Arabidopsis thaliana: one gene and its partners. The protein of the gene in region 1 interacts with the protein of each later gene in a biochemical or structural test. Each region holds a gene or a part of one and is shown on either strand. Other genes may lie near its edges. The genes, in order: AKR2, TOC33 and TOC64-III.

Region 1 (3,750 bases):
ATTGAATGATTATAAAGATTCTTAACTTCACAGCTACTGAAAAAAAGAGAACCATCTAAATCCGAATATTTAATTGCCGTGAATTGATAAGAGAATTGCATACCTCGCCGTATCCACAAGCAAAATGCAATGCTGTCCTTCCTTCAGAATCTTCTTCATCTTTGTTACCACCAGATGCCAAGGCAGCTTTCAAACCCTAATGAATCAACGAATAAAAATCCAATAACGAGTTCAACAAAACAAAACTTGGAACATCTAATTCCTCAAGCAACACGCAAGATAAATCTCACATGGTCAAGCATATTAACGTAGGAAGCAGTCTAACCTCAACATCACCAAGACTGGCAGTTTGGTGAACAATAGACTCTTCTTCTTCACCTTCTTCTGCTACCTCAGGTTCAGCTGAAACAGTCTGGTCTGGTAAGCCAGCAACAGGCATACCCATTGCTTCACCCAGCTTTTTCAGCACTTCTGGATCATTCCAGTACCTAAAACAGAATAAATAATTCTTCCTTCATAAACAGAAACAAACTCTACAGTTTCTCTAAAAAACATTGAAAGAAGTTTGTATCACTCACTTCATCATGGCAGAAGGACCACCAGCATCAATCTCATCTAGTATAGGTTTCAACTCTGGATCTTCTTTCATCCGCGCCATACGCTCAGTAAAGTGTTCTGCTGTTTCAGGATTCGAGAAAGCATCCAAAAAAGGAGACATTTGTGGATCCTGTAGGCAAAAAAAATAAATAAAATCAGATAAGACACAGAGCTTCATTCAAAGCCACACCTCGATTAGATGGAAAAAGTCATCAATTCCTAACCTGAACTAAGGCGGTACCAAGTTTCTCGGCCATTGTCTTAAACTCAGGGTTATGCATAACCTGTTGCATTGTATTGACATACTGTTGAGGATCAAAGTTAGGGAAACCACCTTCCTGGCCAGCGTTAGGAATAGATCTCTGAAGCTGCTCAGCCAATTGGTTAAACGCAGGATCTTTAGCTATTTGCTCAGCCATTTCTCTGATGCTAGGATCCTACAAAAAAAACCATTATCAATTAAAAAAAAACTCAAAGAAGATAACTTTTCAATTGTGCTAACAGCAAAGGTAACTTACGTTGAGAATACTAGCCATATTAGAGAAATCAAAAGCATTGAAATTCAAGCCAGGCATAGCTGATGAAGTTGAACTCCCAGAAGCTGATTCCGGCTTAGAACTCTTATTCTCCTCCGTCGATTTGGGTTTCTCATCTACAGTAAACAAATTACAATGAACCAATAACCAAATCTGACTAGAAACGATTCATTATCGCAGATCAGATTGTATACTGAGAAGAAAATAATCACCTGAAAGAAGAGGATTTTTCTCCGAATTGGAAGCCATTAAGTATGACTAAAACCCTACAAAAAACACAATTTTGTTTTCAGGAAAAGGTGTAAACAAGAGATTCAACGAAAATAAGCGAAGAGGAAGACAAAGAAATCGAATCGACAACTACCTAAGAGAATTTAGTAAGAAAAGGAAGAAGAAGAAGAAATTAACCCGAAAAGACAATGTTGTGGTGGCAAACGCTCATGAAACTTGAAATACAGATAATCTTTCTTTTTTTTAATATGACGACAAGAGAAAAATTATTTATTTATCAGCTGGATTTTGGATTGAGAAGAAGATCAACTGCGAGGGACAACAGCCACTGCTTCTCCATTGAAGTTTGAACCTAAAGCTAAGAGGCCTTTTATTTTTAATCAAATTTATTGTTATTGGCCCATATAAACCTGTTTACCTCAAGGCCCAAGCCCATGCGTTTGAATAATAAGATCAGCCACGTAAGATTTGTGATTTAAGATCAAATTATCCGTTAATGGATAAACACGCGTCACTTCACGGAAGCAGCCGTTCATGGCAGCCACGCTTCCACTCTGTGCTGCCCTCCGATCTCCCGTCTCTTCCCGGAGATTCGCTCCAATTCACAAAACCGACGTTCCTTTTCAGTTCAATGTCGTCCTTTCACCGTTTTTCGGTTCCGTCGCTATTGGCGGTAGAATTTTCCCGCGTTTACCGGCGGCGAAGCAGGAGACTGATCAGGATGAGGTTGGATTTGATCAGCAGCCGTCTCAGGAGCTTGCGATAGCGTCGGCTTGTTTGGTTGGTGTTCTCACTGGAGTTAGTGTGGTTCTATTCAACAACTGTGTTCACTTGCTTCGAGACTTTTCCTGGGATGGGATTCCTGATCGTGGAGCTTCGTGGCTTAGAGAGGCACCGATCGGTTCCAATTGGTTGCGTGTTATCCTTGTTCCGACTATCGGCGGTTTGGTGGTGAGCATCCTCAATCAGCTTCGAGAATCTGCTGGAAAATCTACTGGAGATTCTCATTCTAGTCTCGATCGCGTAAAGGCAGTGTTGCGTCCTTTCCTTAAGACTGTTGCCGCATGTGTGACGCTTGGGACTGGAAATTCGCTGGGGCCGGAAGGTCCAAGTGTTGAAATTGGAGCGTCAATCGCTAAAGGTGTGAATTCTCTGTTCAATAAAAGTCCTCAGACTGGCTTCTCACTTCTTGCCGCTGGCTCAGCTGCTGGCATTTCCTCTGGTTTGTTCATCTGATATTTGCTAATGTTGTTCTCTCTTGCGTATGGAACTCTTGATTGATTCGTTAAGAGGACTTTGTTATATGTTGTTACAGGGTTCAATGCAGCTGTGGCTGGATGCTTCTTTGCAGTTGAATCCGTTTTGTGGCCTTCTTCATCAACTGATTCATCAACTTCACTTCCAAACACAACTTCTATGGTTATTCTTAGTGCTGTTACTGCTTCTGTGGTTTCCGAAATCGGTCTCGGCTCTGAACCTGCGTTTAAGGTTCCTGACTATGACTTCCGCTCTCCTGGAGGTAATATGCATTGCCATTCTTATGCTTTTTACGCAAGGGAACCAGAAACCAAACTTATGAGAGCTGGTCACTGATTTTCAGAACTTCCACTCTATCTTTTATTGGGCGCTCTGTGTGGCTTGGTCTCGTTGGCATTATCTCGATGTACATCATCCATGACATCTGCTGTTGACAGTCTTAACAAGGATGCTGGGATACCAAAGGCTGTATTTCCTGTAATGGGTGGATTAAGTGTTGGTATCATAGCTTTGGTATACCCTGAAGTATTATACTGGGGTTTTCAGAATGTGGATATTTTGTTGGAGAAACGTCCATTTGTGAAGGGTCTTTCAGCTGATCTTTTGCTTCAGCTGGTAGCGGTCAAGATAGCTGCAACCGCATGGTGTCGGGCTTCTGGACTTGTCGGTGGATACTATGCTCCTTCTCTCTTTATTGGCGGGGCAGCAGGAATGGCCTATGGAAAGTTTATTGGACTTGCTTTGGCTCAGAACCCTGATTTCAATCTCTCTATCTTGGAAGTGGCATCTCCACAAGCTTATGGTCTGGTACTGTTCTTATGTGGTCAATGTTTCAAAATTGTCTTAATTTCAGACTTTCTTGATTGGTTACCTATCAATACTTTGAACAGAATATTTTTTCGGGTTAACTGAGAATGGATGCTAGTTTTTTTGTAGCTTCATTGCCAATGATCCTGTTTGTCTCATTGTTTAACAGGTTGGAATGGCTGCTACACTTGCGGGGGTTTGTCAAGTTCCTCTTACAGCAGTACTACTGCTATTTGAACTTACACAGGATTATCGTATAGTGTTACCTCTACTGGGAGCTGTAGGCATGTCTTCATGGATTACATCTGGACAATCAAAGAGA
Region 2 (3,750 bases), on another chromosome or scaffold:
TTTTTATTAGTTCCGGTAGGTTTTTGAAACTCATTGGAGCTGATTTGTGCTGAGATTTGTATGATACTTGTTTTTTATTCAAATTGTCTGCACATTTTTGTTGTCAAATCCAAGGGTTTTCGCTCTCTAGTTATTTGCCTTGTTGGAGCTTTTGATTTTGGTTATTGATTGAGTTCGCGATCGATTACGTTTAAGCTTTGTAGCTGATCCGATCTGGGAGATTTTCTGGTGTTGTGTATCTTCTTCTTTTTGAGTGCTTCATTGATCTCACAATGTATATTTCGTGTTTTATATAGCCTTTAGTGTTGTTGTTGCTGAAATCAGTGAGTAAAATGCTATTTATGTTCGTTTGATTTCTGATTAGTAACATACTCAGCTTCTCGCTGTCCATTGTATTGTAGTAGAATTCTTGTAATGTGAATTGCTGATGATGAGTCTTTAACATTTTCTATCTAGGTATCTCCTGCTTGTGTTCCTTTCTACTGAGTTTGTGGTTGGAGATTTGAAGTACTTGTGTTTTAAGGGTAGTAAGTGGTTAACTACAGATGAATAAGAATCAAACAGTTGGGCTAGACTCTGAAGATGATGACTCTGATGATTACGACATTGCGCAAGTAAACTGTGAGCTAGCTTTGGTTGAAGGTCAGCTCTGTAACATACCATACGAGCTCTACGATCTACCAGATTTAACGGGAATATTGTCTGTTGAGACTTGGAACTCACTTCTGACTGAAGAAGAAAGATTCTTCCTCTCATGTTTTCTGCCAGATATGGATCCACAGACTTTCAGTTTGACGATGCAGGAACTTCTTGATGGTGCCAATTTATATTTTGGGAATCCAGAGGATAAGTTTTACAAGAATTTGCTAGGTGGATTGTTTACTCCAAAGGTAGCTTGTTTCAAAGAAGGTGTTATGTTTGTCAAGAGGAGAAAGTATTACTACTCTTTAAAGTTCTATCATGAAAAGCTGATCAGGACATTTACCGAAATGCAAAGGGTGTGGGTTCAGTATGGAAATAAATTGGGCAATTACTCAAGGCTCCTCATTTGGTCAGGACGAACTCAAACCGGTAATCTCAAGCTACTGGACCTCAATAGAGTTCCATCTAAGGAAATGGATAGTGCTACATGTAGATTCAAAACTCCCAATGTAGTGAAACCCGTGGAAAGAAATAGATCGAAAAGTTTAACCTTCCCTCGCAGTGGCAGCTCCAAGAACAGTCTCAAGATAAAGATAACCAAGGAAGGAGTATTCCGGTATCAAGGTTCCAGCTTAGTTTCTGCTGGCCATCATCATCAGACTTTGCCAAAGGGTGTTCTCAAATTAGTCCCTAAATCTTCTTCTGCCATCCTCAGGAAACCCTATGTAGCTCCAGGAAACAATCTCCTGCAAATCCATGAAACCGGTTCAAAGAGTACTAGATTTGCAGCGTCTCCATACTTAGGTACGACATTTGAGAAACCACCCTACGGAACTCTTGGCTGTTCTATCCCAGACCCTTTCTTAACCTATTTGGAAACTACACAAAGATCAATCCAAGGTACAGAACCGGTGTTTCATGATCCAACACACACTGTTCCCAGTGCTCTCCGTGTTTCAAATTACTCCATCACAGAACAGAATATACCTCTAAAGCAAGAAGAATATGTCCGGTACCACCTGAAGTCTCCTGGTTTTAAGCCTAGGACTGTTGACAGAGGCTCTGAAACAACAGAGAGCAAGAGGATTTCGTCTAGTAATAACTTTCAGAGGGAAGCCAAGGCTCTGAGAAAACCGCTGGGGGTCCTGAGCGAAGACAATCATGCTCGAGAAGCCAATAGTGACCATTTGTTTTCCTTGACTTACAAGCGAAGAAAGGTTCAGAGAATCGCTTGAGCTCCCGTGACGCTATGCTAATTCAATGTTCCACCTAATGTAGTCTTCCATGAAAATATGAAGTGTAATGCTGCAACTTGGTAACTGGATTTGGTTTGGGGTTGAGTTTGTTAGTTTTCAAAATTTGAAGGCACTAAAAAGAAACACTAAAGAAATAGAGGAGTAAAAGTGAAAATAATTTGAACTATTAAACAAATTACCGATAAGGTCACATTCTTTAGCTTTTCTCTGCGGAACACATCGAGAGAGCTTCTTCCAAAAACCTCAAACGCTCCTCACACAACGGTAAGCTCCTCCAAATCTCCCAAAACGTTATCGCTTTCGAAATTAATTATCATCATCGTCATCACTCAGCGATTATTTACCAAAAGAATTTTTTTGCTGAAGGGTTTAGGAGTGATGGGGTCTCTCGTTCGTGAATGGGTTGGGTTTCAGCAATTTCCAGCAGCTACCCAGGAAAAGCTGATTGAATTCTTCGGAAAATTGAAGCAAAAGGTGTGTTTTGTTGTTGTTGTTCCTGTTTCTTTGGTGCTTAAGTCGGTTTCTCGGATTCTCCGTTGTGATTAGGAGATAATGATGGGAGGTTTTTGTAATTGCAGGATATGAACTCAATGACAGTTCTTGTTCTGGGTAAAGGCGGTGTCGGAAAATCATCCACTGTCAATTCTCTTATCGGCGAACAAGTCGTCCGTGTCAGTCCTTTCCAAGTACGTAATTCAGTTTCCCTAAGCTTGATTTTTTTAATTTGGATTAAGAAAGAGTAGTCATTTCAAGATATTTGATGGCTCTGTTTTGTTGATTTTGTAGGCTGAAGGATTGAGACCAGTGATGGTTTCAAGAACAATGGGAGGGTTCACTATCAACATTATTGACACCCCTGGACTTGTGGAAGCTGGATATGTCAATCACCAAGCTCTCGAGTTAATCAAAGGGTCAGTAGCTACTCTTTTGGAATATCTCTTCGTTGATTGTTGCATATAGGATTATCTCATTCGTTTTTGAATTAATTAAGCTAAGTATATATGTGGTTAACATGTTTACTTGTGGGTTTCTGTTGAAATTGTGAATTATGAGTATCTGGTTTACGCTGAAGCTGTATATTGGAGTGTGTGTGGAAGTTTTACGATAGTTGTTGTGTTTCTCGGATTTTGGACAGGTTTCTTGTGAACAGAACAATAGATGTCTTGCTCTATGTTGATCGTTTGGATGTGTATAGAGTCGATGAGCTAGATAAGCAAGTTGTTATAGCAATCACCCAAACCTTTGGAAAAGAGATATGGTGCAAAACCTTGCTTGTTCTGACTCATGCTCAATTTTCCCCTCCCGATGAACTTTCCTACGAAACTTTTTCCTCCAAGAGATCAGATTCTCTCCTCAAAACTATCCGGGCTGGTTCTAAGATGCGAAAACAAGAGTTTGAGGTATGGTTATTTATACATATACCTGTCTCCGAAAATTGTTATACCAATGTATGTTTGGTTCATTGTAGCAAGAATCAGTTTCATTCTTTACTGGCTTGTAGGATTCTGCAATCGCGGTAGTCTATGCAGAGAACAGCGGAAGATGCAGCAAGAACGATAAGGACGAAAAGGTTTGTGTTTTCGAATCTCTGATTTGATCCGACTTGGAGAGAGACTGACTGTTAAAAGTTGCTTACCTGCTCTCGGTTCAGGCTCTTCCAAATGGTGAAGCGTGGATCCCGAACTTGGTTAAGGCGATAACTGATGTAGCAACAAACCAGAGGAAAGCAATTCATGTAGACAAGAAGATGGTAGATGGATCTTACTCTGATGATAAAGGAAAGAAACTCATCCCTCTTATCATAGGCGCTCAGGTAAGAAAGAGACACAGTTTGATTTATTGTCTTGTTCGA
Region 3 (3,750 bases), on another chromosome or scaffold:
TGGTATGATTCCGGTGTTTGAAATAGCCCCATAAGAAGATTTGAATCCAAGAACGCCACAGTATCCAGCAGGCACTCTTACCCCGCCAACTGTGTCGATGCCTGCAAAGATGCAAGTAATCAAAACTATACTCTGAAAACAATTGAAACCGAACCAACCAGTAGACAGTTGAAATTTTAGATACTGATAGGAGGAGCCAATGACAGACTACCATATAAATTATAAATCCGCATGGAACTATCTTACCATATAGCCATAAGAGTCTAAATCAAGCAATTCTATTAGATGCCAAATAAGTTTCTGCAATATAAATAAATTATCAATCGTTTCAGAAATTTTCTAAGGAAGATTATTGACCATGTTTTGAAAGTTTATGCAATGTTTTGTTTCTCAAAGATACGGTTATCTCATACCAAATTGTCCAAACAAGGAAAAAAGTAGCTACTGAACTCACCTAGAGCAAAATCCACAGCATTTGTTGCTACGGCTACAGCAGCTCCACTGCAAGCGCCACCAGGAATACGAGTAGGAGCTGCAGGATTTGTAGGTGAATCGTAATGCTTGTTTTCTCCACTAATACTGAAGAAAATGAAAACAGCCAAACAAAGGAATTAATATACTAACATCCTGATAAAATAAAAATTTCAACACTGGAATCACAATCTGAATCCTGATACAGGTAACAATTTAACATTATGAAACAGAGACAAACCTAAACGCAAACTCATCAACTACAGTTTTTCCAACACAAGTGGCTCCACCTTCAACGAGAGTTGAAACCACAGGAGATGTTGACGAAGCAGCTTCATGGGTCCTGACCCAGTCTGGATGACCAAATCCAGTCACATACCCTGTAATATCGAATCTGGAAAACAAATGAAAAGGAAAGAAAGAGTAAATTAGCTTTTCAAGAACTTCAAAAGTCAAAAGATCATAGAAGAGAATGAGAGATATACACAGATTAGATAAATAGTCAATCAACATGTTGAGACAGTTATAAGTAGGACTCCATGAATAAGTCGAGGTCAAACTTGGTGACGAATCTAAAACATACAAACACCTAGCAACAGAGATCAAACAGTAGAGCCTTCCAATGAACAGATTCAACAAGTATCGATTTGAAATGAGTTTGACAAAACTAGCAGACACACACACACACACACACACATTTGAATCTACAACAAACACAATTTTCAGTGAAACGGCTCAAAATCAATCAACCATACTTTCGAAAGCTCAGAATCAGACATGTAGTGCGCCGGAGAAGATTACGAGTCGAGTCAACGCAGATTCCAACATTTGTCAAACAAAATTTTGACTCTACCCAAGGAAAAAATCATTCAGCTAAACCCCCAAATATAGATATGATAAACATATGGGAGAAGAAAGGGGGAAACAAGTCAACGGAGACTCACACGTCGGAAACGGCAAAGGTTAGACCGGTGAGAGGATGAGGAGCTTTGGGAGGAGCAGGTTGCGGAGGGGGAAGAAGCATGAGTTTATCGATAAAAGCGCCGAAATCTTCACGGACGGTCTTCTTCAGCTTTTTGGTAAGCATAAGAATCCCAGCGAGACCTAAACCTAGAAGAACCCAGAGATTCGCAGCTTGAGACGCCATCGGTGACGTTTTTGTTCTAGCTGCTGCTGCTGCTGCTTAAGATAAGAGAGATAGACCCTAAGGAGAAGGACGCCAAAGAGTTTTTGTTTAGTGTGTTGCGTTCCCTTTGAGTTTTTATTCTTTTTCCTTCTTCCTTTTTTTAACATCACTCGAGGGTTTATTTTATTTTCGTTTTGTCAACAGTTTTTTATTCACGTTGTAAAACAAAAAATTAATTTTATTAATTGTTTCTTGTTTTTACAGTTTATTTTATTAATTCAATTGGTATAAAATATGGATACACATAACAAACATTTTGCCGTATTTTCGGTTTCTTGTGTGTGTCCACTTGTTCGATAATTTTGCTTCGTCGTTAGGAATCTTCTCCTCTTATGTTATGAGGATGATTTGTGGTTAATTGTTTTACTTTCAGAAATACTAGTGGAAAATTAACCACGAATGTGGCACACTCCTGGCCAGAATCATATTGTGTTTGCCTCAAAATCTGATTTGGTCAAATTATTGTCCAAAGACTGACTAGTATAAAGACGTATTGATGAAATAATTTGAAGCAAAAACTCAATATGATAGAACAACGTTTAGCATTTTAAATAAAAACTCTAATCAAGTGAACAACTCCATTTTACACCAAAAGCTGTGCATGTGTGCCATTCTATATGCTTATCTTTTACTATTGCCATTGTAATTAATCTCCTTCATAATTCTCCTTATCAATCATTATTATTTCTCAAATAATTACTTTGACAATGACTACATTCAACATGTTATATTTTCCACAAACAATGATTCCGATTCGACGAACAAAATACAAAAATTTAAGTCTAAATACAAATAAAAGACACACACATGAACCGACGTATTCATCCTCCACCACCGCTGCATATACCGGTTAAAGATACCGGAAATCTACAAAGGGACGTGGCTACCGGCGTTCCTTCTCCGGTAACCACTTCAGCTGAAGCCGGAGGAAGAACCCTTCCGTCAGCGAACAATGCCCGCTCCCCCATCACCGGCTGCTGATCTTGGTACCGTGCCACCACCGCATCCTCTAGCTCTGCCTCGGCGGAGTTGTAAACGGCTTCATCTCCAAACCTCCGTTCCACCTCTAGATACTCCCCGAGCGATGACCGCTTTGAATCTCCTGTTCCACGGTGGATTCCATTTCCGGCGGCGTCGTCATCGTCATCTCGGCAAAACCGCCACCATTTACGGCGGCGATGCGGCTCAGGCTCAGCCGAATTTGAAGGAGGACGCTTTCTCTGGTGGTTGCGTCTTGCATTGGAGCTAGAAGCTCGTGAGATTGCGACGGAAGGTGACACGTGGCGGCGTGAAGAGGCTCTAAATGGCATCGGCATAGTTGCAGTGAAACTAAATCCCATAAGCGTTCCAAGTGTGATGCTTCTGTCATGGAAGAACGATCCTGTTGACTAAATCCTCACATCACCAATAAAAAAACCAAATCAAGTTCTAACAAGTACATATATATGTTTCTGGGCAGTTCTGAAAACATAACCTTTGGAACTTTAAACTAGTTTTCTAATTAAAGGTTGATACTTTATAGCATAAAGCTTTATGGGTAGCTTAGAAAACACATGAAGAGCTTGATCTTTAATTAGATTATCTATTAAGTATAAGATTGCAGGAACTGACCTCAGTATCAAGATCGGAGGAAGAGACGGAGGAGATAGTTGGAGAAGATGGGACATGAGGATCTTGCATCTCTGTAATCGCTGGTTTCAAAGGGTTTGAAGATGTGGGAGATTGTGTCACTGAATTAAAACGAACGACGTCGGATTAGGGAGTTTCTTGATGAGAGGAAAAGGAAAGTGTTTTTGTGGATGGATAGGTGAAGAAGAAGAAAGTGACAAATGATTTGCTTTTTGAAATGATTGTGCTTCTTTAAGCTAAAGTCCTCTTGGCCATCTGTTACACTATTTCTTTCCATGTCTCAGAGAGCTTTGATATTTTTGATAAATTTGATTTAATTGTTTCTAGTTATGGGAATAATCAAAATCCTTTACAGAGACATTTTTTTTGTAAACTTTGGGTAAAAGCTGAGACATGTTGGATGGTAGCAAATTAAAATTTACGAAAAGAGGATAAATTACAACAAAGTAAGCTTTTATAGGTAC

What was found.
Region 2: the proteins of AKR2 (region 1) and TOC33 form a complex in vitro, tested with the Arabidopsis thaliana proteins (one study listed by BioGRID).
Region 3: the proteins of AKR2 (region 1) and TOC64-III form a complex in vitro, tested with the Arabidopsis thaliana proteins (one study listed by BioGRID).

The regions. Positions count from the first base shown.
Region 1 is NC_003075.7:16,837,494-16,841,243, reverse strand, and holds the start of AKR2 (ankyrin repeat-containing protein 2), read right to left. Parts: upstream 1,713-3,750; 5' UTR 1,498-1,712; exon of another isoform or gene 1,400-1,497; 5' UTR 1,383-1,399; coding exon 1,346-1,382; intron 1,317-1,345; exon of another isoform or gene 1,250-1,316; coding exon 1,116-1,249; intron 1,035-1,115; coding exon 822-1,034; intron 728-821; coding exon 579-727; intron 513-578; coding exon 326-512; intron 197-325; coding exon 104-196; intron 1-103. Other genes in the region: CLC-E (chloride channel E), read left to right, coding at 1,899-2,586, 2,680-2,883, 2,965-3,428, 3,598-3,750. UniProt on the Arabidopsis thaliana protein: Exhibits chaperone activity toward chloroplast outer envelope membrane, mitochondrion outer membrane, endoplasmic reticulum membrane and peroxisomal proteins, by recruiting specific proteins containing a single transmembrane associated with an AKR2A-binding sequence (ABS) and subsequently binding glycolipids (e.g. monogalactosyldiacylglycerol (MGDG) and phosphatidylglycerol (PG)) present in the membrane of the target organelle.
Region 2 is NC_003070.9:448,773-452,522, reverse strand, and holds the start of TOC33 (translocon at the outer envelope membrane of chloroplasts 33), read left to right. Parts: upstream 1-2,096; 5' UTR 2,097-2,162; intron 2,163-2,264; 5' UTR 2,265-2,276; coding exon 2,277-2,372; intron 2,373-2,476; coding exon 2,477-2,584; intron 2,585-2,684; coding exon 2,685-2,809; intron 2,810-3,033; coding exon 3,034-3,298; intron 3,299-3,399; coding exon 3,400-3,468; intron 3,469-3,549; coding exon 3,550-3,711; intron 3,712-3,750. Other genes in the region: AT1G02290 (uncharacterized protein), read left to right, coding at 546-1,877. UniProt on the Arabidopsis thaliana protein: GTPase involved in protein precursor import into chloroplasts. Seems to recognize chloroplast-destined precursor proteins and regulate their presentation to the translocation channel through GTP hydrolysis. Binds GTP, GDP, XTP, but not ATP.
Region 3 is NC_003074.8:6,145,898-6,149,647, reverse strand, and holds the start of TOC64-III (translocon at the outer membrane of chloroplasts 64-III), read right to left. Parts: upstream 1,743-3,750; 5' UTR 1,619-1,742; coding exon 1,416-1,618; intron 866-1,415; coding exon 713-865; intron 580-712; coding exon 455-579; intron 102-454; coding exon 1-101. Other genes in the region: AT3G17950 (uncharacterized protein), read right to left, coding at 2,479-3,045, 3,269-3,337. UniProt on the Arabidopsis thaliana protein: Chaperone receptor mediating Hsp90-dependent protein targeting to chloroplasts. Bi-functional preprotein receptor acting on both sides of the membrane. Not essential for an efficient import of pre-proteins into plastids.